Linked DNA regions of Rattus norvegicus. The protein of the gene in region 5 purifies or fractionates together with the protein of the main gene of each other region. This does not show direct contact. Links are inferred from orthologs where the notes say so. Each region holds a gene or a part of one and is shown on either strand. Other genes may lie near its edges.

Region 1 (2,341 bases), on a different chromosome or scaffold from region 5:
TTTTTAGTTAAAATAAGATAAACAGTAAAGAGCTTTAGGCATGTATGGGTATCTAGTGAGTTATGGTTTTAACAGATTTTCACATGCTTGACCCAAAAGTGTTCACCAGTTAAGTCTGAGTTCATTGAATAGTTATTTTTCTTTATATAGTTTTGAAATTATACATTAACTATGTGTAATTTTTTTGTATCATCAACAAAACCATGAATTTAAAATGCTTGTGTTTTTTGACTGTAGAATATTGTTTAAAGACAAAGACCGGAACTGGGATGACATAGAAAACAAGCTAAGAGCTGAAAGCGAAGTCCCGATTGTGAAAACCTCCAGCATGGTATGGTGGTTTTCAAGATTCAAACATTTCATCAGCGTGGCTTCATTTGTTGGGGAAAGCATAGTTTTGAATATTTGTTAGTTTACATTCTAAAAGACTGTATAAATGCATAGATTCGGTAGTGTTTCATCCAGTGGTGTTTAAAGTATCTCTTGGTTCAAGGCCATAGAGAGCATTAAGGAGGATCGTGTGTTGATTAACTACTGTGATGTATCTTGTTCATATCATAGCTCTACATTATAAAGAAGCACCTTTAACTTTAGAACTTAATGTTAATTGACATATCATTTCTATTTTAAAAGCACAGTTTTATCAGATTTTTCTCCTTATGTTGATGGTTTCACTTTATATACTTTTCAAAAAACAAAAAAACTCAAAGGCACAGTTTTAAACTATTGCAGAGTTGATCAGAACAGATGTTTCAAAAACTGTTCTTTCCTTATTAGTATATTGTCTTGAAATGTTATTGTTGTTGTTGAAAGGCGTCATTATTAAAGATTATAAGTTGGGTCTTGCTTCCTGGGTGTCTTCTGTGTAGCTACTAATGCAGTGCCATAGAGACAGTGAGCTGCATTACTTGTAGTCTGAGAATGTTGTAACGTAGTAAGCTAATCTGGGTGTCTTTTCCTGCAGGAGATTTCTTCTATTTTACAGGAGCTGAAAAGAGTGGAAAAACAGTTGCAAGGTAAATTTACTTCTAAATTAGGTAATGATGCTTGCAGATAGGGTGTTCTGGTAGACGCCTATAATTCCAGCATTCAGGAGTCAGAGACAGAAGGATTGAGGTTGAGACCAGCTCAGTGTATTCCATTTCTGAAAATATATTTCTTATATTCTTAGTTATTGAAGCAGTATTTAACTAAATATATCAACCAGTACTTATAACAGTATAGAGTTGAATATATCTCAGTTATTCATAAAAGGAAAGTTTTATAGCTCTATATAAAGGACTGGAGATGTGTCTCAGTCCTCGAGTATCTGCCTAGCGTGTGTGAGGCCCTGGCTTCTTTCCTAGTACCATCAAAGTGACTAGATAGACAGTTCCCGGATAAAGTCTGTGTTGTTTCACATTTGATGCGGAGTGTTATATGCAGAATGGTCTCCACCTCACCGTGGAGCTGGACCTCTTGGTCCTCCTCCCTCCACCTCTGAGACCATCACCCCTGGCATAAAGAGAACATATTGTGAACATTTGTTGGTATTTGTATTTTATAAAATCTGGCTGTTTAACACATAACCAGTGTTTTCAGTACCCCTCTGTGATAGTAAAAGCAAGTTCAGAACTCTCTTGGCCTGCTTTCCCTTCCAGTCACTGTTCACTGTCACCTAAAGTGCCGATAGGGACTGTGGGGACCTAGGAGAACCTCAGGTCTGTACAGTCTACAGTGTAGACTTAACCACTGGTTATTGAATCAGGTTAAGTAAGATCTAGCTTAGTTAACTAGAGGTTACTAGCTTACTTTAGCTAAAGTCCCTTCTAATGATAAGCAGTATTCATATCCACTTCTTACTGAAAACAGAACTACATCTTTTTATCTTTTTATCTCCTTCAGTGATAAATGCCATGATTGACCCAGATGGAACTTTGGAGGCTCTTAACAACATGGGATTTCCCAATGCTATCCTGCCATCTCCACCAAAACAGAAGTCCAGTCCTGTTAACAACCACAGCAGCCCTAGTCAGACGCCAGCACTTTGCCCAGCAGAAGCTAGGGCCCTGCACCCTGCTGCAGCAGCAGCAGCAGCCGCCGCCTCCACTGAGTTTGAGAATGCTGAATCTGAGGCTGATTTCAGCATCCATTTCAATAGGTTTAATCCTGATGGGGAAGAAGAAGATGTTACAGTACACGAATGACGTTCCCTGGTTTGTTAGAGACATTACCCATGGAGTGACTAGGGGTATTGGAAGCAGCATGATGTTCACATACAAAACAAGAGAGCTTGGTCAGCAACAATCTTGTTATCTTTGTCTTCTTGATTTATTTATTTATTTTTACCTCTAATGTATCA
Region 2 (4,054 bases), on a different chromosome or scaffold from region 5:
AGTTTATTTCAGTAACTCTGGTCCAGCCACAATCCAGAAAACATTCAGAGGCTTTCGTCTTTTTTTTGTCTTGTGTTCATTTTTGTTGTTGTTTTTGTTTCTTGAGGCAGTCTCAGGATGTTAACTCTGGCTGACCTAGAACTCACAATCTTCCTACATCGGTCTCTGGGGTGTTGGAATTTAAAGTATGTACAGCCACAGCTATTTGAAGCTTATATCTCTTACTTATCCACAGGAACCATCTTAGCAAAATACAGAATGATTCAGTCATAATGTGAACATTTCTGAAATGCCAGGAGACGGCCCAAATTGACTTTGGTAATTCCCAAGATATAGCATCAAGTAGTGGTTCACACTGGTAATCCAGTACTTGAGGTAGGGGCAGGAAGATCAAAGAGCTCAAGGTCATCCTCAGCTGCACAGTCGATTTAAAGCTGGCCTGGAACACAAGAGGTCCACTCTGCCTCAAAAACTCCAAAACAACCATACACAAACCAAAAAAATATACGAAAATTAATCAAGCAAAACTTGTATGAATTATAAAGAAAAGTAGAGAAGCTTAAGAGTCTCATTCCTATAACCTCACCCACCACCAAGTTTATCTGTCTCAATTCAACTTAAACTTCTGCTGGTTCTTTCTTACAGAAACATTCAAAATGTTTCTAACCTTTTTCTTCATGACATATACAGCAATCACCATTTCTTATCTGTCACTCATTGGGAGTCACTAAGACACACTTACAACTATAAAGTCACAGCAGGCAATGTTACTTCTACCTCTACTTTCTTTGCTTTGGTATATTTTTTCCATAATAAAAGTTCTCTTCAAAGAAGATATAATTTTGGCCTAATTACCCAATCAAGAATCTACACACTTATAAAAAGTACCAAGGTCCTTATAACTAAGAAATTGCTTATGATCAAAAGATTTGATTTTCATGGACCATCAAAATGGCTCAGAAAATAAAATGGGATTACTGTCAAGCCAGATAACCTGAGTTCACTATAGACTAGGAGGAGAGAACAGACTCCTGAAAATTGTCCTCTGACAAACACATGCATGTATGGCATGCCCATGTGCAGACACACACACAAACAGGCAATCAACCAATCATTCAATCTATCACCTTCATTTAAATCTTGCCAATCTCAGGGGTAGATCTCTGTGACAGAGCATGTGTATGTGGCCATGGGTTCAAAATTCCCAGCACTACTAAAGAAGAGAAAGAATAATAAGCCTCACTAACCTTACACATACATTAAAGAAAAAATTAGAGAAACAATGTAAAATTCTATCATCTTTCCAAAGTTCATAAAGCATCTTAAAACTGTGTAGAAACAGAATTTCTTACGACCTTAAAGTCATTCTCCTATGAATTTTACATACTGTGGAAACTTATCCAACCTAGAATGACTAGGATCATGACACTTGATCAAACAGAATTAACAAAAACACTTGACCTTAAGACCTTGAGAAAGAAAAGAGAAACAGTGAAATTCACAAAAAGATTCATTTTCAATTTAACTAAGTTTGAATAGTTTCTACACAGACTTTTGAACTCTTAATAAAATGACTAAACTACTAACCAAATACAAAAAAAAAAAGTTTCAAAAGAGTCTCCTTAGACTCCCTCTAGATACCTCCTAGAAAAGACCTTCCCAAGAACCTAAGTTCAAAGTCTTAACCATCTTCCATCTTGCACTAAGTACTTAATCCCATAGCAGAAAAGAGTTAGAGTAAGCTGAAGAGTGGAATCAGTATTAATCAGAAGTAAAGTGGAAGTAAACAAAATTATTTATGAGAAAACAAAAACAAACTATCCTTACTACTTTTGCTAAAATACAAATTTCGAAAAGACAAATCCAGTCAAAAAATATTCCTTGCTCCCTTAATGTCTGAAGCCTCCAGTAACACAATAAATGTTTCTTAAGAAAGAAGAGTTCCAAGTAGTCAAATGAGAAATCACTGTTAAGTTAAAAGTGACCAGTAAAATGGGAGAAAGAGAAGGGTCAACTGTTAAAGACAAAAACAAACAGCATATTTAATGCTCTGTCGGGGTCATAGGGAAAAGTCAGGTCCCATACCTCAGCCTCAGTTTCCCTACTCCAAAAGAATAGAACCTGACATTTCGTTCCAAGGAGCTGGAGGGCCTAGTTTCAAGAGCCTCCACCAACTCAAAGGGCACTCCGAGGCTAGCCTCAGCGTGGGTCACCAGTGCAACTGAGGAATGACGTCCGGAACATGAGTTGCAGGAAAGGAGAGAGAGAATTGGGTCTAAGAGAGCCAAGCTCCCACAATCTAGGGGTGACGACACGAGTCCAGGACCAGACATCCCCTCTCTACAGAACCCGGCCAATAGCTTCAGCATCTCTCCCTCCTTCCGGCTTCTCCCTCAGTTCCGGGCAGCCCTCCGGCCGCGCCCCCAGGCGCAACCCCCTTCACGACGCGCGCCCCGACGGGCCGCGCGCTCGCCCACCGGCCGGCGCCAAGGTCTCCTCCTGCCTTCGGCGGAAGGATGCCGGACCGGGCCTCCCAGGCTCCTCCCGGGCCTACCTGCGAGGCGAGTGAGAGCTTGGCCGGAAGGCCAACGAGCGCACGGAGCCACGGACGGAAGGCGGGGAGAGGCTGAAGGAAGCGAGGGGCCCGCTCGACCGACCAGCGGAAGAAAGCGGCCAGAGCCCGGGGTCTCCCGGATAACTCAGTCCAGGACCTGGCACCGCCGCCGCCGCTCTGGAGACATCAACCTAGAAGACGCTGCAAAAGATCATCGAACACACGAACGCCCAGACATCAAAGGAAGAGCGCCCAAGCAATCGTTCAAGGAACTGCAGCCGAGTGCCGAAACATTGCTCAGCTCCTGCTGCAAGTCCCGCTGCCTTCCTAGGCATAAATAAACAAATTCAGATCATAAGCTAAAGCATAGAGTAGGCTGGGTTTCTGCCATTTTCTCTTGGTGACCGAGTGTTGAAGTAATTTAGAGAACTAAATTTCGGAGACAGCAAGCACGGTTGTAATCCCAGGAATTTAGGAAGAGGAGGCATTTGGAGGATATGGAGTTCAAAGTCATACTCAGTTAAGAGCAAGGCCAACCTGGACTATATGAGACCTTGTCTTAAGTGAAAAAGGAATTAGTCTTTTGTGAACACGTTGATTGAAGATAAATCATACTAGAATAAAGCTCTCCTTAATAGTTCAACGATTGCCCTACACTTACAGACTTCTTACACTACTTGTCCCAGTTGAACAAATGACTTCGCTTCTTTTGATTCTTGATTTCCTCTCAGAGCTGAAGAAAACGGAATAATCTCTATGAATGCCCCAGTTCAATCCAGGAGAACATAGAACAGCTTAAGGTGGGAGGGGAAAGTTCCTGTACCTTGTTTTTAAATTTTTATGATTTGACTTAGTTTGTTTTGCCAGACAAGGTTTCTCTGTGTACCCTTGGCTATCCTGGAACTGGTTCTGTAGACCAGGCTGGCCTCCAGCTCACCCAGATCTGCCTGCCTCTGCCTCTGGAGTGCTGGGATTAAAGGTGAGCACCACAACCTCCCAGCCTGTTCTTTTCTTTTTCTCACTTCTCTCTCTCTCTTTTTTTTTTCTTCCAAAGATCTAAAGCCACAGTCCACAAATGTGCTTTTAATTAGCTAAGTAGCTAGTTAGTTAACTAATTAGTTTTTAGAGACAGGATTTCATGTAACCCACACACTGGTCTTGAACTCTATGTAGCCAAGAATGACTTTGAAACTCTGATGTGCTTGTCTTCATGTTCCAAATTTGGAGTGTGCCTGAGGGATTGTGAGAGGTTGAGGTGGGGGCTCACACTCTGTAGCCTGGCTTGCTTGGAACTCACTATGTAGCCCAAACTGAGCTCAAGCTCACAGCCATCCTTTTGCCTCCGAGTCCTGGAATTATAAGTAACCATGCCTGAGGGGTTTTTGTTTGTTTGTTTGTTTGTTTGTTTTTAACAGAATCTCACTAGGTAATCCATATTACTTCAAACCCTATCTTCCTCCCTCTGCCTCCCACTTGTTGGAATTACAGGCATTTACCGAC
Region 3 (3,283 bases), on a different chromosome or scaffold from region 5:
ACAACAGAGCTCTGGAAGCTAGCTGTCTAACTGCTGTCTAACTGCAATGTCCCTACTCTAGGACAGGCACTAACCTTTTTTTTTTTTTTTTTTGAGCTGGGGACCAAACCCAGGGCCTTGCGCTTGCTAGGCAAGCCTTCTACCACTGAGCTAAATCCCCAACCTCAGGTGCTAACCCTTTAACTTCCACACAATATGGCTTAAGAATTTTTGTTTTTTCAAGACAGTGCTTTTCTGTGTAACCCTGGCTGTCCTGGAACTCTCTTTCTAGACCAGGCTGGCCTTGAACTCAAGAGATCTGCCTGCCTTTGCCTCCCACCACCCGCTGGCTTAAATTCTTAACATACAAGAGTCAATGTCATATATGATGATGATATATGAATAATGAAACTAACTGAAAAAGGTTCAGAAACCCGAGTAATCAGGCCAGAGTCTTCTAAAGGAACAGCTAAAACACATTTACTTCAGGAAACTTTAATTAAAACCAACACAAGTTATTACAACACATTTGAAAAGTATCTTTTATTTCTCCTGCAGAAATTTTCATGTTATTGCTATGACAAGGGAAAGAGCTAGGATTTCTACTTCCTTGCTTAAAATCCATTTTCCACCATTCAGCTAAGGGGAGGGGCTTGAAGACAAGTAGTCTTAACACCCCAGCTTGTTTCTAGGGAAGCAGGGGAAATCCTGTTGAGCTCATCTGCTCCAGAGGTACTATGTTTCAGTGGAAGCAGCCAGAGGGTTCTCCCGTGGAGAAAGGGCTGTTACTGTGTACACTCGATGCAAGGCAAAGGACACAGCAGTCCTGAAATGGGACTGATGAGCAGGCTCAAAGCTTTGCAGTTTAACCAAAGCTTTAAGGGCTGCAATGATTAATTCTTGTAAACAGATGCAAATTTGCTCCAATGACAGTGTAAACCAAACAAGGAACTAGACAAATAGTGAGAGAATCTGCCTTGCTACAATGGAGACCTGCTTGCTCCAGTGACAGAAACGCCTGCAAATGGGGCTGGTGCGGGAGGGGATGCAATAGTGGCCAGACACCAGAGTATCACCCAAGCAGAAGAGTCTGCCTGATGCAAATGCTGCACCTCCTTCAAACTATTAGTTACAGCCTTACAGCCCCACATGCAGTAGGCTTTGGACAAGATCTCCAGAGCAGCAAGGCACAGCAGAATGTTCAAGGAGCATGAATGTGTGAGAGACCTTTGCCCTGAACATTAGGATCTATGTACTTTGTAAAGTTTTGAAATCATAAGCAAGCAGATCAAATCACAGCAGTGTGAAGAATGCAAGTGGGAACTACCAAGGTATTTTAAATAAATAGCTTATTTATTCAAAATAGTTCTCTTACCTTATTCACAGTTTCAAGTTTAAAATGAGAAAGTGATAGTACCTAGTCTTTATCAATGTCACATACAGTCAAAGAAAAGTGAGGCCTTTCAGAACATGCACTGAAAGGAGACCTGCACAACTTTCAGTCTTCGAAACCTCCTGTGCAACAGTTTGGAAAGGGTACACTTCTGTCACTCACAAGGAAACACAGATGTGTACTGTTTCTACACGCCATTTGAACGTGAAATCACTTGAATAAGAGTTCTCTTGGCCAGAGTAACATTTTATCTAAAATAATCTCATCTTATGTCCAAGTGTTTTAATATCCTTCAAGAATATCTCCAAGTCTAAGCACATCACAGGAGGTCTGTTATCACTAAGGAACCAAGTACTTCTCGAGGAAATACATTCAGAAAGCTTTTGATTCCATTATGGTTTCTCACCTTTACAGGAAGAAACCAAACCACCCCACATCCTCTGCCTGCCACGGGAAGCGAGTACCCACTGTGGACCTGATTAAATGGCATCTCCTTATATTTAATAAGTCTCAGCACCGAGTGGACAGAACAGCTCCAGGATGGGAAGGCACTGACAAGACAGTCCTCCGAGACAACTTCAGGTCAGGGGACAGCACTGCCACTCGATCCACTGCTACCAGATGCAAGCTGCTCCAGCAGACAGATGACAACTTCAATTCTCTCCAACAGAGTGGAGTTTCTGTTGGCAGTTGCTCTCAAAAGCTGGGAGTAAATCTGCTTGTTGGTCTGGAGGGCTGCATCATCTTCCGTGTTACTGCTGAGGTTAAAACAGACAGGTGAAGGGAAGAGAGGGCAGGTGGGGCTGCACACAGCAGGCACTTCCTAGAGCAGCTGACTTACCTATGGCTGCTGAGTAAAGCAAAGAACGGCCCCTGCCTTAGAAGCAGTGAGCAGCCACGAAACATGGTCAAAGAATACGTCACAGAGTGGGAGGTGGGGCTGATCAGGCATGGAGAGGCTGTGTGGCCATTCTTCTACTCAGCAGTGCCAATCACAACTGACAGCTGAGCTCTGCTCACAGACTCCTGACTCGACTTCTTACACCTTGTGTAGCTCATGCCTTTAACCTACTGTCACCCCTGAGCTGGTTACTATTACAGTCTCCACATGTCAAACAGAAGGTTTTCCTCTTAAGACAATTAACTGGTTTACCTTATCTACCATTTTACTCAACTAAATACTTACTGTTATCTGACTAAGGACCATCCATGATGTTAACTAATTTCTTCTCTGTACTACAGGACAGGGCTCCATGATCCTCAGATGTTTTATAGCTTTTCATCTCAAATTCTAGAGAAATGTCAAGAGGCCCCACTCAGCTAGAGCAGTGAATGCTCAAGGGCATGATAAGAACAGCTCAATACTTAATCCAAAGTGGAGTAAGTCCCCGGCAACTTAATAAAAACAAAGTGTATTGTGTCCTGTAGCACCTACACAGTTGTCATACCATGAAGCACACTCAACAGCCTGAAAATAAAAATTTTCAACAAGAAAATGAATTCTAATTTTTCTTACAGCTCACTTTAATTTCTGGGAACCTAAGTAAGTTAAGCTTTTCAGTTATTAAGCCCACTTTCTTATTTTGCCTCAGGCTAAGGGGAAAAAATAGCAATCAAAATAAACTACTAATGTTCCTTTCTGTTAAGGTGATGCTCTGATTTCCTTTTCTCTTAAACAACTCAACTAGGTCAGCTTTTTTCAACAATAAACCTGTCAGCTGTTCTCACCTAAACACGAATGAAACACAATAAACCTCGGTAACCATAGTGATCTGCTTCAAACCTGCAGTGTCACGTTTCTTTTGTATAATAAATCTGAAAGCACAGATAGGCTCATAGGACATTTGGCCTGCATGAAAACTTTAGATTAAAAATTTCTTCAACAAGCCAGGTGTGGTGGCTCACATCTTT
Region 4 (4,174 bases), on a different chromosome or scaffold from region 5:
CTCGAAAAACCACTGTAGTCTAGTGCGCGACTTTGAAAGATTGTAATATATTCTGTGGAAAACATTCGGCAGAGCAAAAGCCCTCCCTGGGCCCTCCCGCAGTATGCAACCAGTGGAACGGTCTGGAAATCTGCAGCTCTGGAAAGGTCCCTGGCTCAGTCCTTGAGGAATGCAGGCAGCTATATGGGAAGAACCTGCTCCAGGATGGTTCTGGATGAGATGGGGATCCTATCAGGGAAGATGACTTCAAATTCGATAACAAGGTCTCCACGTTTCTCAGGTGTTTTGGGGAGGGGGAGGCCTTCTCCAGGAACTTTCCTCCGCATGCCAGGCCTGATGACATCTTTGAATACAACAGGAATGGTCCTGCCGTCCAGAGTAGGAACATTCACAGTGCAACCACAGAGAGCCTAGGGAAGCAAAAAGACAGTGTCAGGTAGCAGCTGGCTTAGGAAGCTTGACCCCTCCAGACCAGAACCATCCAGAGAAGGGTCAGGTCCACCAGACCAGGCCTTCCGAGACCCCACTACAAAGCTCCCCATGCTGTCAGAAACAGAGTGCCACCCCCACAGCCTGTTATCCTCAGTACCCATCTCTCTTCATGATTCCTCCTCCCCACACCCAGCACCTTACCTCCCGAAGGCTAATCCTGGCTGGATAAATGACATCAGAACCATCTCTCTTGAAGATATTGTGTGGCTTGTCCTTTAAAACAAAGACGATGTCAGCTGGAATGTTGTTCGAGGTCTGGTCCCCTTCCTTGGGAAAGGTGATTTTGGTCCCTTCTTTCCAGCCCCTCTTCACTTCGATGGTCAGGATCTTATCTTCATTTCGAATGCTCTTTCCATCAGGGTTCAGCCGCTTGTGGGAGATTTTCATCTTCTTGGTACAGCCGCTGTAGATCTCTTCAAGGGAGACCCGAAGGTCGTGGGTGACTGGGGGATCTTGCTTCTTCCGGGTGGGCTCTTGAGTAGGGCGGGAACGTCCAAAGTTCATATTGGTGAAGCCGCCCATACCCATCGGAAAGCTAGAGAACGGGTCATCGATGTCCATGCCTTCTTCCCCGTTGCGCTGCCCAAAAAAGGTATCAAAGGGATTCCTGCCACCGAAGAACTCAGCAAACATAGCATGAGGGTCTCCATGGAATGTGTAGCTGAAAGAGGTACCATTAGCACCACCACTGCTCCCGCCACTGGGGCCACCACCCTTCAGGCCTGGAAAACAAAACGGCAACTCAGGGTTACTGCAGGAGAGTCAGGACCCTTCATCCCAACACTTCTACACACAGATAAAACACAAAGCCCTTGAAACAAAGATCTTGGAACCCTAGCTCTCAAGACAGGAGCAGACTGATCTCTGCAAGTTCCAGAAAGCCAGAGCTCTAACATGAGATGCTGGAGAAATGGCTCAGAGCACTTGCAAAGGAACTATGTTCAATTTCCAACACCCACAAAGCAGCAGACCATGGTCTAACTCTAGTTCCGGGAACTTCAATGCCTTCTCTAGAAGCGTGTGATGATGCACGGAGGTACACACTCAAATAAATTAAAAAATAAAAGTTCCAGCAACAGTGAGGTCCTGTCTCAAGTAAATGGTAACATCTTGTTCCCTTGCATGTATTACTGTCAATTCTAAGTAGCACAAGAACTTGCTGTGTAGTCTAGATTAGCCTCAAGGCAATCTTTCTGACTCAGACACCCCCGGGGTGGGGGGGATTGTCACAACGTCTGCTTCCTTTGGAAACAGCTTACCCTGTAGCTCAGATTTGCAGCAAATTCACAACGTTCCTAATTCAGCCTCCCAAGTGGAGGTGTGAGCCCCAGTACACTGCTCTCAACAAGTTTTGGTCTTAGTAAAAAAGCAGCAGAAACTATAGTGTGTGTGTGGGAGGGGGTGAGGGGAAGGAGTTACGTGTATATTTTTAAAAGCTTTTCCACTTAAGTCAAGGACGAATCTCAAGTCTTTAACTCCCAATGGCAACAGGAACAGGAAACAAACCACCCCGTTTAACTTCGTGACAACAATTCAGTAGAAAGGTCTCTAGATGTTGGTGCCACCAGGTTGACGTGACTGCTCCATCCTCCCAGCTATGCTGTAACACCTTACAAAGAAGTTCCTACGCACTAGTACCAGAAAGGTTCAACTTTGGGTAAGCACCGAGCTTGCGGCTGGGAAAGGGAATCGACACTTGGGCAATTTTCATTCCCATCGCGACCGCCGCCCCCCGCCCCCGTCTGCAGCATTCCGGCGCTGTGCAGGCGGCCGGCCGGGAGGGGCTGCGGCAGACGTGCTAGAAGCTTCTGTGCTAGCGGCGCACCCAGAGCTCCTCCTCCCGTCTGAGGCCGCCGATTAGAGAGAAGGTGGAGGAGGCAGCGCCGCCGCGGGATCCCCGGACCATCTGTCCCCCGCCGAAGCCTCAGAGAGGCCCCGAGTGCCTCGGTTTCCTCGCCTGTCAAACGGCGGGTCACCCGGGCCGCGCGCACGCGTACCTTCCTCTCCATAGCGGTCGAAAATCTCGCGCTTGCGCGGGTCGCTGAGCACGTCGTAGGCCTCGGCGATCTCCTTGAACTTCTCCTCGGCGCCGGGCTCCTTGTTCTTGTCCGGGTGGTAGCGCAGCGCCTGGCGGCGGTAGGCCCGCTTGATCTCGTCGTCGGACGCGCCGCGGGCCAGGCCCAGCGTCTGGTAGTAGTCCTTGCCCATGGCCACCGCCGCCCAGCTGTCGCCGCCTCCGGCTCCGCTGCTGCCCCGTCCCGGACTCTATATACCCGTCCGGCGGAAGCTTCCAGATCCCGCCAGCCCTCCAGAACCTTCCGCCCCTCCCGATGCGTCGCCCCACACCGGCCAATCGCTGCAGCCCGCTGCGTGACGCAGCTCATCTGGGGTGGGACCCGGCGGCCAACGGCTTTCCGCGCGGGGCCACGCCCCTTCTCTCTCTCCCCTGGTCAACGCCTTCCTCGGACGCGCGCGCCGGCTGCCGAGGTCCCGCCTTCGCGGCGGATCCAGCCAATCGCGACCCGCTCTCCCTGATGACGCGAGGGGGCGGGCTACAGAGGCGGCCCTCCCGGATGGCCGCACCCTTTCCCCAGGTGATCGCCGCTGGGCGGTTCTGATGCGTGACTTATGGTAGCTACCTGATGTGTAACTCCAAGTCTTCCTGCTTCAACCCAGGGATAAAAATACGCACCCCGCCCTCTTCTGCCCGTAACCCTTTGTCTTCCCGTACAGGCCGTTACTGTAAAGCGAGGTGAGGCTGGTCTGCCTTGGGATTGCCCCAGTCGGGCTGGGTTATTTTACTTCCTACTAATTCCTATTGGAATTAGCTGGTTTCTTGGCGTTCTTGGTGTCACTTCCTTTGCAGAGAGTGAAATCTTTTTAAGATCCACTAGGTGCTTCGTAAATATTTCCAAATACTTTGACATAGATGTTTTTTGCTTTGGCTTCGTAAGCCTGGGATGATACGGTCAAGGACACTGCTGAGTGAGGAAGAGGACAGAGCTTCTGATATTGGAAGCTGGAGGAGTCAGTGGTGGTTCTTGCAGGGAATTGCCTGGAAGACAGTGCATGAAAGGCTGACAGTAATCCTAGCACTTTCTGGCTGTGTGACTTTGTGCTGGTAAAGTAGCCATTCTGGTCTCAGTGTGCTCATCTGTATAATGGGAATGGTCGCTGTATTATGGTTAAGTTGACATTATCCAGCATTTGTGAAAGTGCCGTAGACAGACAAGGTACAAAGGAGGTGTTCTTGAAAGGGATGATTAATCATCTTGTTTAGTGGACAACTGTTGACACTCACTTTCTGGCAGCCCTGCAGCATGAGAGTCTGATAACCCTTGCCTTAGGCACCCCTGAGAAAAACAACCTTAGCCATCCCATGATGGTATAGCTGTGTGTGTTTTGATTTCCCTGACCGTACTGACCCTGTGAAAGCTGAACCAGTTGAGTCCTCCTTCCCCCAAGATGGATTTGGGGCTAGGAAACCCATTAGCTTATCAGAGAGGGTGTCCCGAACCAGTCACTTGGAGAGAACGTGTCTTTAAAGATACCGAGATATGAAGAGCCTATCCTGGCACAGTGACTTGTTCCTGTAATCCCCGTGCCAGGATGCTGCTATAGGAGGAACTCCCATGTGAGGCCAGCCTGACTTCAAAATGGGTGAATAGAAATCAAAAGTATA
Region 5 (4,100 bases):
TCCTTCCCACCAAGTCCCATCACAGCCCATCGTTCTCACTGCTAAAAGATAATAACGCCCTCCTCCCTCGGGGGTTTTATAAGATTCAAATGACAGTGTGCACGAAAAGCGTTCCTTCTAAATTACAGACTGTTAACGACAAATTAAATATGGTGTCAACTTGCTTTGTGGGTCCTGGAACACTGGCACATGCTAACAGGAACCTTAAACAGTCAGAAACCAAAGCAGGGGGTGGCCCGTTTCCCTGGCCCCTGCTGGCTGAGTGAACTGGGAAGGAGCTGCTCACCACATGATCGGTTTTGGGAGATGTGTAAGCAGCCGATCTCCCAGTCCTACCAACCATTATACCTCCTTGGCCAATGTCCAAAGCCCAGCCCCTGACCCACAGCTCCTAGAAGCTACTCAATAACAGACATGCTCCAGGTCTTCAATGTTTACTGACTCAAACGCTAAATTGATTTTCTTCTCTTTTAGTAAAATCATATTCATTCATAGGTCAGACGGACAGTTTGAAAAGTGATATTCAAGACCAGGACACATGGTGTTGACCTGAGCAGCCGGTCTTCCCGTGTTCACATGTGAAGTGCTCTGCTCTGGACTGAAGCATGTTGTGTATATCTGAGCTTCAACTTCTCATCTGCGCAATACAGATAACGGTAACTCCCCCAGAGACACGAGGCCTAGCCTACAGACTGATGCTAACATGGATGATTTATAAACTAGGATAACCACTAAAGAGTAAGGCGTTCGGCCTCGACAAGCGCAGAATCCCCATAGAGCTGGTCATGTAAATCAGGAAAGGACGGGATTATCTTTTTAGAGAAAGCACTGCAGGAGAGGAGGCGTAGTAATAAAATATTGTTTTAATGTAAGATGGTGTCGTTAATATCATAAGCCATTAGAAACAAACGGCATCTGTTACCGATTTATAAAACATTTTAAAGCATTTCGGACACCCCCCGAGGTCAGTTCATCCTGCAGGACATAAAGCCTTTGATGTGGTTTCAGTCCACAGAACCAGTTCAACTGAATGGAAGATGCACACTGGCTACCAACCAATGACTTACACTACCCCATCCACTGCTTTTCCCACACATGGGCACTAAGAAAGTTGGAGGGACGTCACAGGAGCGTCATCTTTCTCTACCCATGTTTGAAAAGCCTAATTTTAAAGTGTCCTGCTCTGTGACACTGTCCAGGTGGCTTCTAAAAAGGGCCCCCAAACCTTAAAAGGCAGCATCATCCCTCCCCCCATTTCTTTCACCTTCTGACAAACTTACTTCTAAGTGCGCATCACATTTTTAAAGAGAAACAAGACTTACAGAAATCTGCGCTTACTGGTAAAGGCCTTGAACCACTAAACACACAGTAAGAAACCCCCTTCAGCGCAACTGTTAATAAGTAACATAATTTAATCTCCTATGGGCCGGGAATTGAGATTCCTTTGACGTAGTCAGACATTAGAATGTAACACTAAGCAACCCCCAGACTTTCAAGAGGCCCCCAGGAGGAGAGGAGGGACTCAGCACATGGCCGGCAGGGATTAACTCAAGTTTCTGAACAATGACTCAGCTTGAGGAAGAGTGACAACTTCCTGAACCCTTCAAGGAAAAAAAAAATCGGAGCAGTTGAGAATGTACTGTCAAAGTTCGGAGCCTACCTCACAGAGGGAAACACTCCTCTCTTTTCAGAGGGGCTTTAATGCTGACCCCCTCCCTTCTCAGCATAGGTCCCTTTGTCTCCCTCCGGTTTGGGGGACATAGGGTTCAGGCTTCTCTTGTGGTTGCTACTCCAGAGACTAAAAGTTTCTCACCTTCTGGTTCTTTTCTCCTAATAGTAAAAATAGCGAACACCTCAATTGTAACAAACACTGCTTGTATTTTTCTGTGCAAACATACTGTGTTTGGTGGATGCACGGAGAGAGATGAAGACGCACAAGACTCTTAAGATTTTGGCTCATATTTCTGCTTATGCAGAACCTGGAGAAAACTAGGGAACAACATGTGTCAGGGTGTCTCCATACGATTTTCATGGAACAGCGCCTGCACACAATCAAAACTTGCACAACTTTGGAGACCTTAACGTTCCCACCAGATACACCGGGGCTCATGTTGCTAAAGCCAAGTATTCACAGCATCTGCTAGTAGTATTCACGATTTAGAAATTTTACTACAAGGCCGTCCCCGTGATAGAATCTCAGGGAGAGTGTGACGCCTGCCTTTGGTGTTTTCAGACCTGCGACTGGCACTTCCCAAGTGTCAGCTGTGTCTTCTAAACGCACAACATACACGGACAGACTGCAGAGGGCACTGCACGTGGTTAAGAGAAGGAAGGATGGTATCCAACTTCGGTATCTCGCGCGGCCCCTTTTGAGTCTGATTCTCGCTGGTCCCCCGGAGGGGCAGTCCTGGGTTTTTTCTTTTTTAAAACTTACTCTTGTGTTACTATGAAGTGATCTGGGGCAAAGAAACTTATTACAGGGGAGGGGGGAAGGACCACACCAACCTGCTGCCTGCCCCCTGGAAGCGGGAAAGTTAAAGGCAGAGGGGGACCGCGCCGAAGGATCTGGAAGTTCTGCAAGCCGCACTGGCTCGCCGCGCTGCCGGCCGGGGGAGGGGAGCCCACCCGGAGCGCGCCCCCGCCCGCGCGCGCCCCCGCCGCCCTCACCTGAGCTCCAGCTGGTCCAGGCTCTCCAGCAGGCGGCTGGAGCGGTCGGCCATGGAGGACGAGCGGCAGAAGCGGCCCTCGTGGGCCTTGGCGCTGATCTTCGCCTGGGCCATGAGCTCCGGGGGTCCTCGGCGTCCGCGGGTAGCAGTGGCGCGGGCCGCACGTCGCCGTCACCGCAGGCGCCGCTGACGCGGACGGCACCGCCCCCACCTCCCAGGCTCCCCACCCCCGAGGCCGCGCGGCCAAACAAGGGCAGGCGCGGGCGCAGCCGCCCGCACGCCTGGGTGGGGGACCCTGCCCCGGGGCGCCGAGGGCCCACGCCGTTCCTCCCAGCACCCACGATTCACAGCAAGGACGTAGTGGGTGCTGCCCGTGACGTGGGGAGAGCCGGAGACAATTCAGGACGCCCTAAAGGGCAGTCTCTACTTGCCCGACCTGTCGGGTGACCAGGCGGGCTCCGGAGAGTCCAGGGAAAGCCTGGACCACAGGCTCCAAATAAGGAGAAGCCAAGTGCATCTGTGTTGTCTTGCCTTTCCAATGAAAGGATTATTACTTTCACACATAACTTGTTTAAATCCTCTGCGAATGATATTCGGTAGGCTCATGTGTCAGAAGCTGTAGAGGTCAGCAGGGCTGAAGTACAAAGCCGCGTCCACTTAAAGTCGTGTTTTGCTCTCTCAATGCACAGGATACAGAAATGCACAGGGAAACAAAGTTCATTTACTTCCTTCACTCAGAACTCAAAGCCATTAGATCACTGAACAGAGACAAGCCCCTTAAGTACGACTGGCTTCTAGTCCCACCCCTCCACCCCCCACCCCATCCTTATCCTGAACTCATCTTAATACTAATGAGCGGTGGATTATCTTGGCTTCATTAAACACGGTCATCTCACGACACGACCGAGAAATCTGAACATTTTGTGGACGTCTTGGAAGTCTGAGCTTGGGCAAGTCTCAGGTCTAATGCTCCGCTGGAGGCTGAGACAGAGTTGTGTGAATTAGGCCAGAGTGAATTCAAGGCTAGGCTGGGAAGCTTCAGCAAGCGCCTGTGTCAAAAGAAAAATAAAAGGGGCTGCAGACACAGCTCTGCGGTAGAGTGTCTGCCTCTGTGCTAGGTTGGCAACTAAGCCAGGCAGATGTGGTTGTTTGAATTCCCCCTCCCTGTACTCTCTGTCCTCATCACCAGGGAGGACTTAGGTGAGGCCTCGCTGGAGGAAGTGTATCCCTATGGGCAGGTTTGAAAAGATTCAAGCTATTCCTAGTGTCTCTCTGCCTCGACTTGGGTTTGAGATGTGAGTGCTCAGGGCATCTCTGTGGCCATTATAGACTCAGACCCTCTGTATCTAAGTTCAATTAAATGCTTTATTTTACAGGTTGCCTTGGTCATGATGTTTTATCACAGCAGGAGGAAAGTAACTAAAGTAACAAGCA
Region 6 (2,624 bases), on a different chromosome or scaffold from region 5:
GCTACAGCATCCTTGAGAGGTCACAATAGTAAAGCATCAATGCATTCTGGTGCCAGCCCAACACAGCGGTTCTGGATGTGACCCAGACTGCATTTCTGATGACTTTGGCTTTTATTCTCCTCCACATATGTCACATACAGTTAAGGATTTTAATTTCTATTAAGACAGCCTATCACACTGATCATTTAAAGATACACACACACACACACACACACAGAGAAAGAGAGAGAGAGAGAGAGAGAGAGAGAGAGAGAGAGAGAGAGTGTGTACTTGGATGATCTAGTACTTTACTAGAAGTGTATCTATAGACCACAAAACCAACTTTTACTTATAAATGAAATACTGAAAATTTCTGATTTGGGAGAAATGAAATATAATACAGTGAATGACCTTCATCTCTACTGTAAAAATCCACTTTTGCCTATTTGAACCGTCTCTATTCATGCAATTTAATGAGCCCTCAGAAGAGTCTACACATCTTTATACAGAATTCACATCAGTCAAACTGCCAGTACTTTTATATTTTCAGTGTCTTATCAAAATATGGATAGCAAGGTTCTTCTCATTCTATGAGGCAGGGAGATGTTTCCTAAGGATCTCTTTGGATGCTGCAGAAATGACGTCTGGGAAGGACACATCAAATTCTATCAGTAGGTCGCCACGTTGGTCTGGGTTTTTTGGAAATGGCAGCCCATAGCCAATAATTCTCCTCCTCATCCCAGGCTTCACGATGTCAGTGACTGACATAGGTATGTTTCTTCCATCCATTGTTGGCACATTAATTGAGCAGCCACACAATGCCTAAAGTGGACCAAATAAAATGAAGTTATTAATAAACTTTCAAACTAAAAAATATAAGATTGTGCTAGGTAATAAAGGGTAATAACACGAAGGTAAAATTTTAACTTCAAAAGGATTACGATAGTTATTAAACCTTTTCTATTCTAAAAAATCTGTTCAAGAGGAGCATAATCCGAGATGTTACCAGAGACAGCCAAGAGAGGACAGAGGGAAAAAGGAGAAGTGAAGGGCATCTTCCACACTGGCCTAGGATGGGAATAGTCAGGGTGCAGAAAACTGAACAGGAGGAGCGGGAGGACTTTAGAACTGAACTGAACAAAGCAGGAGCAAAACCTATTCCAGAAGACCTTGGGCTATCTACTGGCTGCCATACAGTCCCAGCTGAACCACACAGGAACCATGAGCCAAGACTTCACGCTCAGAAATGCACAAGGAACTCAGAAATACAGAGATCAGCAGGAAGAGCAGGGCAAAGCAGAGCACGAAGGTGGACAGAGGTCGCTGTCACAGAAATGGCACAGATCATCTGCTTCGCCTGGGACTACAAAGTGCCTACACTAAACAAGGACCGCTCTGTAGCAGCACTGGGACAAAGGGAAAGCCAGGAGCCATCACACAGTGTGGCTGACACAAGAGGAAATAAACAAAGCAATGACAGCAAACTCAGGAATGGCAAATGTGTCTGGGGTAAGAGCCAGACTCTACCTTCACACAGTTTGGACTCTGTGGGAGGAGTATACTGAGACGGTTAAGAATGCACACAGGGGCATGACCCCTTTGAGAAGTGGTGCAGAGAGCTCAGGGACTTTACCAAGGGGTGGTAGTGTGCACCATGTCTAAGTCCATGCTTGCTATGGTTTAATGCCTGTTATATAAATTGGACTCCAAACCACTCACTTCAGAACCAATGTACTAGTGGACTTCAGTGGGGGATTGGCAATGCAGATCTCAGACCACAACCTAAAACTAGAGTTAACCCAACACTGGCCATGAAGTATCTACTCAAGCTTACACTGAAAAACTGGCATTTAAATGGTTAAGATCAGTAACTAAACCTCGAGCCTCTGATGGCATCCTTGAGAGTAATAGCAGCTCTTCCTAGGGAGTCATTATGAGGAAGAAGATGCAGAGCAGGACAGAAGGCAGCTCCTGCCCACAGCCCCCTAAGGTACTCAGCAGTGCTCATCTCTGGCCTTAGAGTCACAGATCTTACCGACTTACCTCCCGTAAACTAATTTTAGCAGTATAAACTATATTCGATCCATCTCTCTTAAATTTGGGATGTTCTTTGTCTTTAATAATAAAAACAATGTCTGCTGGGATGCTATTTGGTGTTTCATCACCTTCCCTTGGGAAAGTAATTTTGGTGCCTTCTTTCCACCCTTTCTTTATTTCAATGGTGAGAATTTTATCCTCAGATCTGTAACTCCTTCCATCAGGGTTTAATCTCTTTCGAGAAATCTTCATCCGTTTGGTGCAGCCACTGTATATTTCTTCAAGCGAGACTTTGAGTTCATGAATAATGGGAGGGTCTTGCTTGAGACGGGAGGGCCCCACGGAATTCCTGTCTCTTGGATATCCATTCATGCTAAAGCCAAAGGCACTGAAGGGGTCGCCATCTATCTCCATCTCTTCAGAGTCTCGGCCTCCACCCATCCGTCTCCCGAAGAAAATTTCAAAGGGGTTGGCACCTCCAAAGAAGGCTGCAAAGGTCGCATGCGGATCTCCGTGGAACGTGTACCTGAAGGTGCCTCCTTGTCCGTCAGTGCCGCCAGCTCCACCCTTCAGGCCTGGTGAAGAGACACGCGTGATTAGGAAAACAG
Region 7 (4,207 bases), on a different chromosome or scaffold from region 5:
TAGGACTATTAAGTCAAGCTTTTCAGAATACAGGTGAGGTTTCTCTCCTTGGTTTAGACTCAAGCTAAAGGAGTGTATGATTTTTTACCACCGTAGAGGATAGGGGTTTCGTAAAAGTTTGATTAGTCCCTAGAGCTTCTGCTTTTAAAAGGCCTTAAAGTGATAGCCACTGAGTCAGTGTAAATGCTAAAATTCACCTCTATAATTCAACACAAATTTAAAGGAAGCTAGGCACACAAACAGAAACTTTTAGAAGATCACAGTAGGGCTGGAGAGAAAGTTCAGGAGTTTAGAGAGAGTCACTGCTCAGAGAGAACCCCAGATTGGTTCCTACCACTCATAACAGCTCAAAGTCCAAGAATTGGAAGTCTGGATCCCTCTTCTGCCCTCATTCAAATATGCATATGCACACAATAGACAAGGACACGATTAAAAATAAAATCTTTTAAAAAAGAGCCAAAAAATGGGGGAGGGGGACACATTTTGGTTTTCTATCAACATCAACTTAAAATTGTACCTTTCAGTACTGGCATTCCAAATACTATTCCATCTGGTATCTCATTACAATATGACTTTGTCATCTACAAATGGTTTCGACCACATTCATAGCTATCTTAGGACACCTGTTACTCCATTCCAATCAAACCCATTTACATTTTCTAACAGTTTTAGTGACTCAAACATTAAGACACCAATTATGTCTCTAGAATCAATACCCCATTGAGTTTACTCTTTGACTCTCTTATTGGTGTACTGGATATGGGCAGATGAAAATATAAACTGAGACTTAATACGATAAGTAAAAGTAATTAAGTAGATTTTTCGTCTGCAATTAATAAGATTTCACACTTATGCACTAGTTTAAATTCTCCAGAGTCTGTACTGATCAAAAACAAAGTTATTAAAATGTTTTGGCTAATTTGAAGTTATCAGGCCGCTTATACAAATCTGTTTAATTAGAAACAATTACCAGTACATTCGTGTGGAACTTTTAGACAGTACAAATAAACAGCCTTTTGCAAGCTCAATAAGTTCAATAAACTCAGCTTGGTTGGGACAGAATATACTTCAGTCCGGTTTCTAATGTTAAAAGAGAGCTGAGAAGCAGTCCGGACTGATCGTGCCTTGTCAACCTTTAATCCTTCTGACTGACGAAAAGCATGAGCAGTCTGTTTATTTTAAGTTCATGCTGGTAGCTGCCTTTCTTATTTTCACTTCTTTGTACCAATGTATCAAATTAGTCAGTCAACTGCTTAGTCTACACAACCAGCAGGGGGTGGGGCACCCGTGTGACAATACTCAGGGAAATTAAACCCTAGAAAGAAATTTTTAAAAATTGGCACGAATACTCAGCAAAATTCAGCGAGATAATTGTCCAAATGTCAGGTATATTCTATTGCTGTTACCTATGAAAAGCACGCAAGGCTGAAAACTAGTTTTAACAACAGAAAGAACACAAAAGAAACGCGGGAAGATAACATTTATTTGACACATAGCCAGGTATTTCCCACTTACTCATCTCAAAAACCGTGAACATGAAAATACCCCGAATAAGTGATCAACTCCAGTAAGAGGAGCCGATCCCCTTCATGAAGTGATTGGAACAATCCAAGAATTGCGCGTCTAGTAAAGCAAAGGCACAAGTGATGTAAATAATCACTCTGCAAAGAATCTTTGTGTGGAACTGGGCGGGGGAGGGGAGGGTCCTTGGGTCACCTAGGCAACACATCCATCTAACCCACAACTTAGACCACGCAAGATACCGGACTTGATTAAGATCATCTTTATTTATAAAGAGAATCTGGATCTAACTGATCAAGGCAACCACCTACCACTCTGCCAGCAACTATTCTTTGAAATTTAACGACTCGTTTTTAACTCCCTGCCGCTAAGTTACTAAGCATAATCTACAGGCACTTTTACTACTAAATTTTTTTAAAAAAGATTAAGCAAATGACCCAGCCTCCAAACAATAACTGGGAAATTTCTATGTTAAAACTACATAAATGAACTACATAAATGAACTACATGAATAAAACTAGAAAGCTCACGGGAAGAGCAGTCTGAGTCCGCACATTTTCCCTTTACCATCATAAAAGATCCCAGACCAGGGGACAAGTAATCACCGCGGAGGTGATTTCTTTAGATAAGCCCGGTGCTCGCCCCCTAGCCAGCTCGCCAGTCTAGGGTTCCGCAACCTCCGTGCCCCGCGGCGAGCAGACGGCCGAGGATGAGTGTGCAGAACGCGCGGCTGGGGCCGGTTCCGAGCTCCCGGGGCCGGCGGGACCGTTACCAGGGCGCCCCTCCCCCACGGCGCGCGGCCCGAGGCGAACGGAGCCTGCCGGGCCCGGCTCGCCGCGCACACAAAGCCGGGGGTCCACGCGTGGTGGGGAGGCCGCGCGCCGCCGCAGGCCGCGGGAGCGGCTGAGCCCAGCCCAGCCCAACCCAGTCCAGTCGAGTCGAGCCGAGTCGAGCCGAGCCGAGCCGGTTCGACAAGGGAGACCCGAGGCCACCGCGTCCCCGAACGTACCTGACTCCAGGTGATGAACTCGTTAGTGTGGGTTTCCTCTACAAGCGTCCACAGCTTGCTGAGGAAAGCCGGCACGTTGGAACTCTGCTTCATTGTTAGCCGGGCGCAGGGATTCCGAATTCTACTCCCGAACGCGGAGGTAGCGGCGGCGAAGGCGTTAGCAGCAGCGGCGGCGACAGCAGCAGCTGCTCCCGGGAACGCACACCACGCAGGCGCGGCGGGTCCCGGGCTCCGCCCCCTCGGCGCCGCGGGGCGCGCGGTGAAGGCGGGGAGACCCCGCGGCCACACGTGATGGACAAGACTTCGCGCTCCACCCCTGCGCTCTGCTCCCGCGCCCGGTCTCTGCGAGTCCAATCCGAGGCTTCGAGTGCACCACAGAGCAAAACGATTGGCAGCTGCCGAGAGGAGGGGTGGGTCCAGGAGTGGTTCAGCCTTCTCTGCTACCTTTTAGGCAGGATACTGTTTTGGGAATGATATTGGGTCCAGAGAAAAACCTTGTTTTGTGGACTCATGTGGAAAGGGTTTGGGTACACCGGCCATGTCTGGCAGAGTGCAGAAACGCCCAAGGGCAGTTGACTCATAAGTTTGACTGGTGAAGAGTAATTTGCTCCAGTCTAAAGGAAGGAATACAGCACATGGGGCAGGGAGCAAGATATGCTAGGCCCCTGGTTGAAACTATCTTAAAGATAAACGAGCCTTTTTATACATTTTTTCCACTGGCAGAAGATGACTCTTAAGACACTTTTATCAAAACCTAAAGCATGAATAATAAAACTCGCTGTTTGCAAAGTACTTGCTATTATATATACTATTAGAATTCAGCAGGCATCAGGTACCTGCCAGAAACCCAGTTCAAAAGCCACTAGTATAATTTTAGAGTATCTGAGTCAAAATAGTTGTTCTGCATGTACCTTATGCAGGTTTTCTTTGGCAAAGTGTGATTTGGAACAGCTTCTTTAGCGCAATGCCCCATTTCTTCATTGACTTTCTACCTATAAAGAGTAGCTGTAATAATGTGGATCTCTGAGAAAAAGATTTTTTGATCTTAGTGTCCTGAACCTGTAAGTTGAGCACTCTGGAGGCTGAGGTAGAAGTGTGGAGCCGTGGAGGCCAACCTGGGTTAAATAGTGAGCTCCAGGTAATCCTGGGCTAATGGCAAGACACCCCACCCCACCCCATACATATATTGTACATGTATATGTAAGCATATACTGAACTTAGTCATATACAGCACTGTTTGGTACATAAACAGCATTTGCTACATATACAGCAACCTAAAGAGGAAGCTTCAAAGGGTCTGATTCAGGTTGGTACAAATTCTATTCAACAAATTACCCAAAGCTAATCGGAACCAACTCTGTAACCAGATTCCCAAAGTGGGTTGGCTAGAAGTTTCCAGCTACATCCCAATGTGATGATGTGTTGATTTACCTCAGTTTGGGACTCTTTTCTGTCCCAGAGCCTCAGAGATAAAATGTCAGTGAAAGTCCTGCTATAGTTACCTGACAAAGTAAAGCCCTTTGAAAGTGGTTCTTCTTCTGGTCCATTACTGTATGCTTACAAATATGTTTTTGAACCACAAATCTGAACAGCCACTTCCAGACTGGAAGACACCCAGTGGCCTTCGTGCCCTCCAGAATAAGTCCTGCCCTGTTAAAATGGCATAGAAGATCTTTT

The links.
Region 1: the proteins of Bag2 (region 5) and Cep170 purify together in Homo sapiens (affinity purification with mass spectrometry; 3 studies listed by BioGRID and IntAct, with this or other methods). This does not show direct contact. The link is inferred for Rattus norvegicus from reciprocal best matches to the Homo sapiens genes BAG2 and CEP170.
Region 2: the proteins of Bag2 (region 5) and Ambra1 purify together in Homo sapiens (affinity purification with mass spectrometry; 3 studies listed by BioGRID, with this or other methods). This does not show direct contact. The link is inferred for Rattus norvegicus from reciprocal best matches to the Homo sapiens genes BAG2 and AMBRA1.
Region 3: the proteins of Bag2 (region 5) and Edrf1 purify together in Homo sapiens (affinity purification with mass spectrometry; 3 studies listed by BioGRID and IntAct, with this or other methods). This does not show direct contact. The link is inferred for Rattus norvegicus from reciprocal best matches to the Homo sapiens genes BAG2 and EDRF1.
Region 4: the proteins of Bag2 (region 5) and Dnajb1 purify together in Homo sapiens (affinity purification with mass spectrometry; 4 studies listed by BioGRID and IntAct, with this or other methods). This does not show direct contact. The link is inferred for Rattus norvegicus from reciprocal best matches to the Homo sapiens genes BAG2 and DNAJB1.
Region 6: the proteins of Bag2 (region 5) and Dnajb4 purify together in Homo sapiens (affinity purification with mass spectrometry; 4 studies listed by BioGRID and IntAct, with this or other methods). This does not show direct contact. The link is inferred for Rattus norvegicus from reciprocal best matches to the Homo sapiens genes BAG2 and DNAJB4.
Region 7: the proteins of Bag2 (region 5) and Hsf2 purify together in Homo sapiens (affinity purification with mass spectrometry; 4 studies listed by BioGRID and IntAct, with this or other methods). This does not show direct contact. The link is inferred for Rattus norvegicus from reciprocal best matches to the Homo sapiens genes BAG2 and HSF2.

The regions. Positions count from the first base shown.
Region 1 is NC_086031.1:91,203,650-91,205,990, reverse strand, and holds part of Cep170 (centrosomal protein of 170 kDa), read left to right. Parts: intron 1-237; coding exon 238-331; intron 332-964; coding exon 965-1,016; intron 1,017-1,884; coding exon 1,885-2,186; 3' UTR 2,187-2,341.
Region 2 is NC_086021.1:98,155,372-98,159,425, reverse strand, and holds the start of Ambra1 (activating molecule in BECN1-regulated autophagy protein 1), read right to left. Parts: upstream 2,801-4,054; 5' UTR 2,555-2,800; intron 2,244-2,554; exon of another isoform or gene 2,086-2,243; intron 1-2,085. UniProt on the Homo sapiens protein: Substrate-recognition component of a DCX (DDB1-CUL4-X-box) E3 ubiquitin-protein ligase complex involved in cell cycle control and autophagy.
Region 3 is NC_086019.1:197,905,911-197,909,193, reverse strand, and holds the end of Edrf1 (erythroid differentiation-related factor 1), read right to left. Parts: intron 2,131-3,283; coding exon 1,956-2,130; 3' UTR 501-1,955; downstream 1-500. UniProt on the Homo sapiens protein: Transcription factor involved in erythroid differentiation. Involved in transcriptional activation of the globin gene.
Region 4 is NC_086037.1:41,428,342-41,432,515, forward strand, and holds the start of Dnajb1 (dnaJ homolog subfamily B member 1), read right to left. Parts: upstream 2,801-4,174; 5' UTR 2,701-2,800; coding exon 2,490-2,700; coding exon of another isoform or gene 2,318-2,489; intron 1,215-2,317; coding exon 634-1,214; intron 411-633; coding exon 180-410; 3' UTR 1-179. UniProt on the Homo sapiens protein: Interacts with HSP70 and can stimulate its ATPase activity. Stimulates the association between HSC70 and HIP. Negatively regulates heat shock-induced HSF1 transcriptional activity during the attenuation and recovery phase period of the heat shock response.
Region 5 is NC_086027.1:43,473,838-43,477,937, forward strand, and holds the start of Bag2 (BAG family molecular chaperone regulator 2), read right to left. Parts: upstream 2,801-4,100; 5' UTR 2,781-2,800; coding exon 2,668-2,780; intron 1-2,667. UniProt on the Homo sapiens protein: Co-chaperone for HSP70 and HSC70 chaperone proteins. Acts as a nucleotide-exchange factor (NEF) promoting the release of ADP from the HSP70 and HSC70 proteins thereby triggering client/substrate protein release.
Region 6 is NC_086020.1:243,789,796-243,792,419, forward strand, and holds the end of Dnajb4 (dnaJ homolog subfamily B member 4), read right to left. Parts: intron 2,592-2,624; coding exon 2,023-2,591; intron 802-2,022; coding exon 568-801; 3' UTR 501-567; downstream 1-500. UniProt on the Homo sapiens protein: Probable chaperone. Stimulates ATP hydrolysis and the folding of unfolded proteins mediated by HSPA1A/B (in vitro).
Region 7 is NC_086038.1:37,364,894-37,369,100, reverse strand, and holds the start of Hsf2 (heat shock factor protein 2), read right to left. Parts: upstream 2,801-4,207; 5' UTR 2,624-2,800; coding exon 2,531-2,623; intron 2,195-2,530; exon of another isoform or gene 2,052-2,194; intron 1-2,051. UniProt on the Homo sapiens protein: DNA-binding protein that specifically binds heat shock promoter elements (HSE) and activates transcription. In higher eukaryotes, HSF is unable to bind to the HSE unless the cells are heat shocked.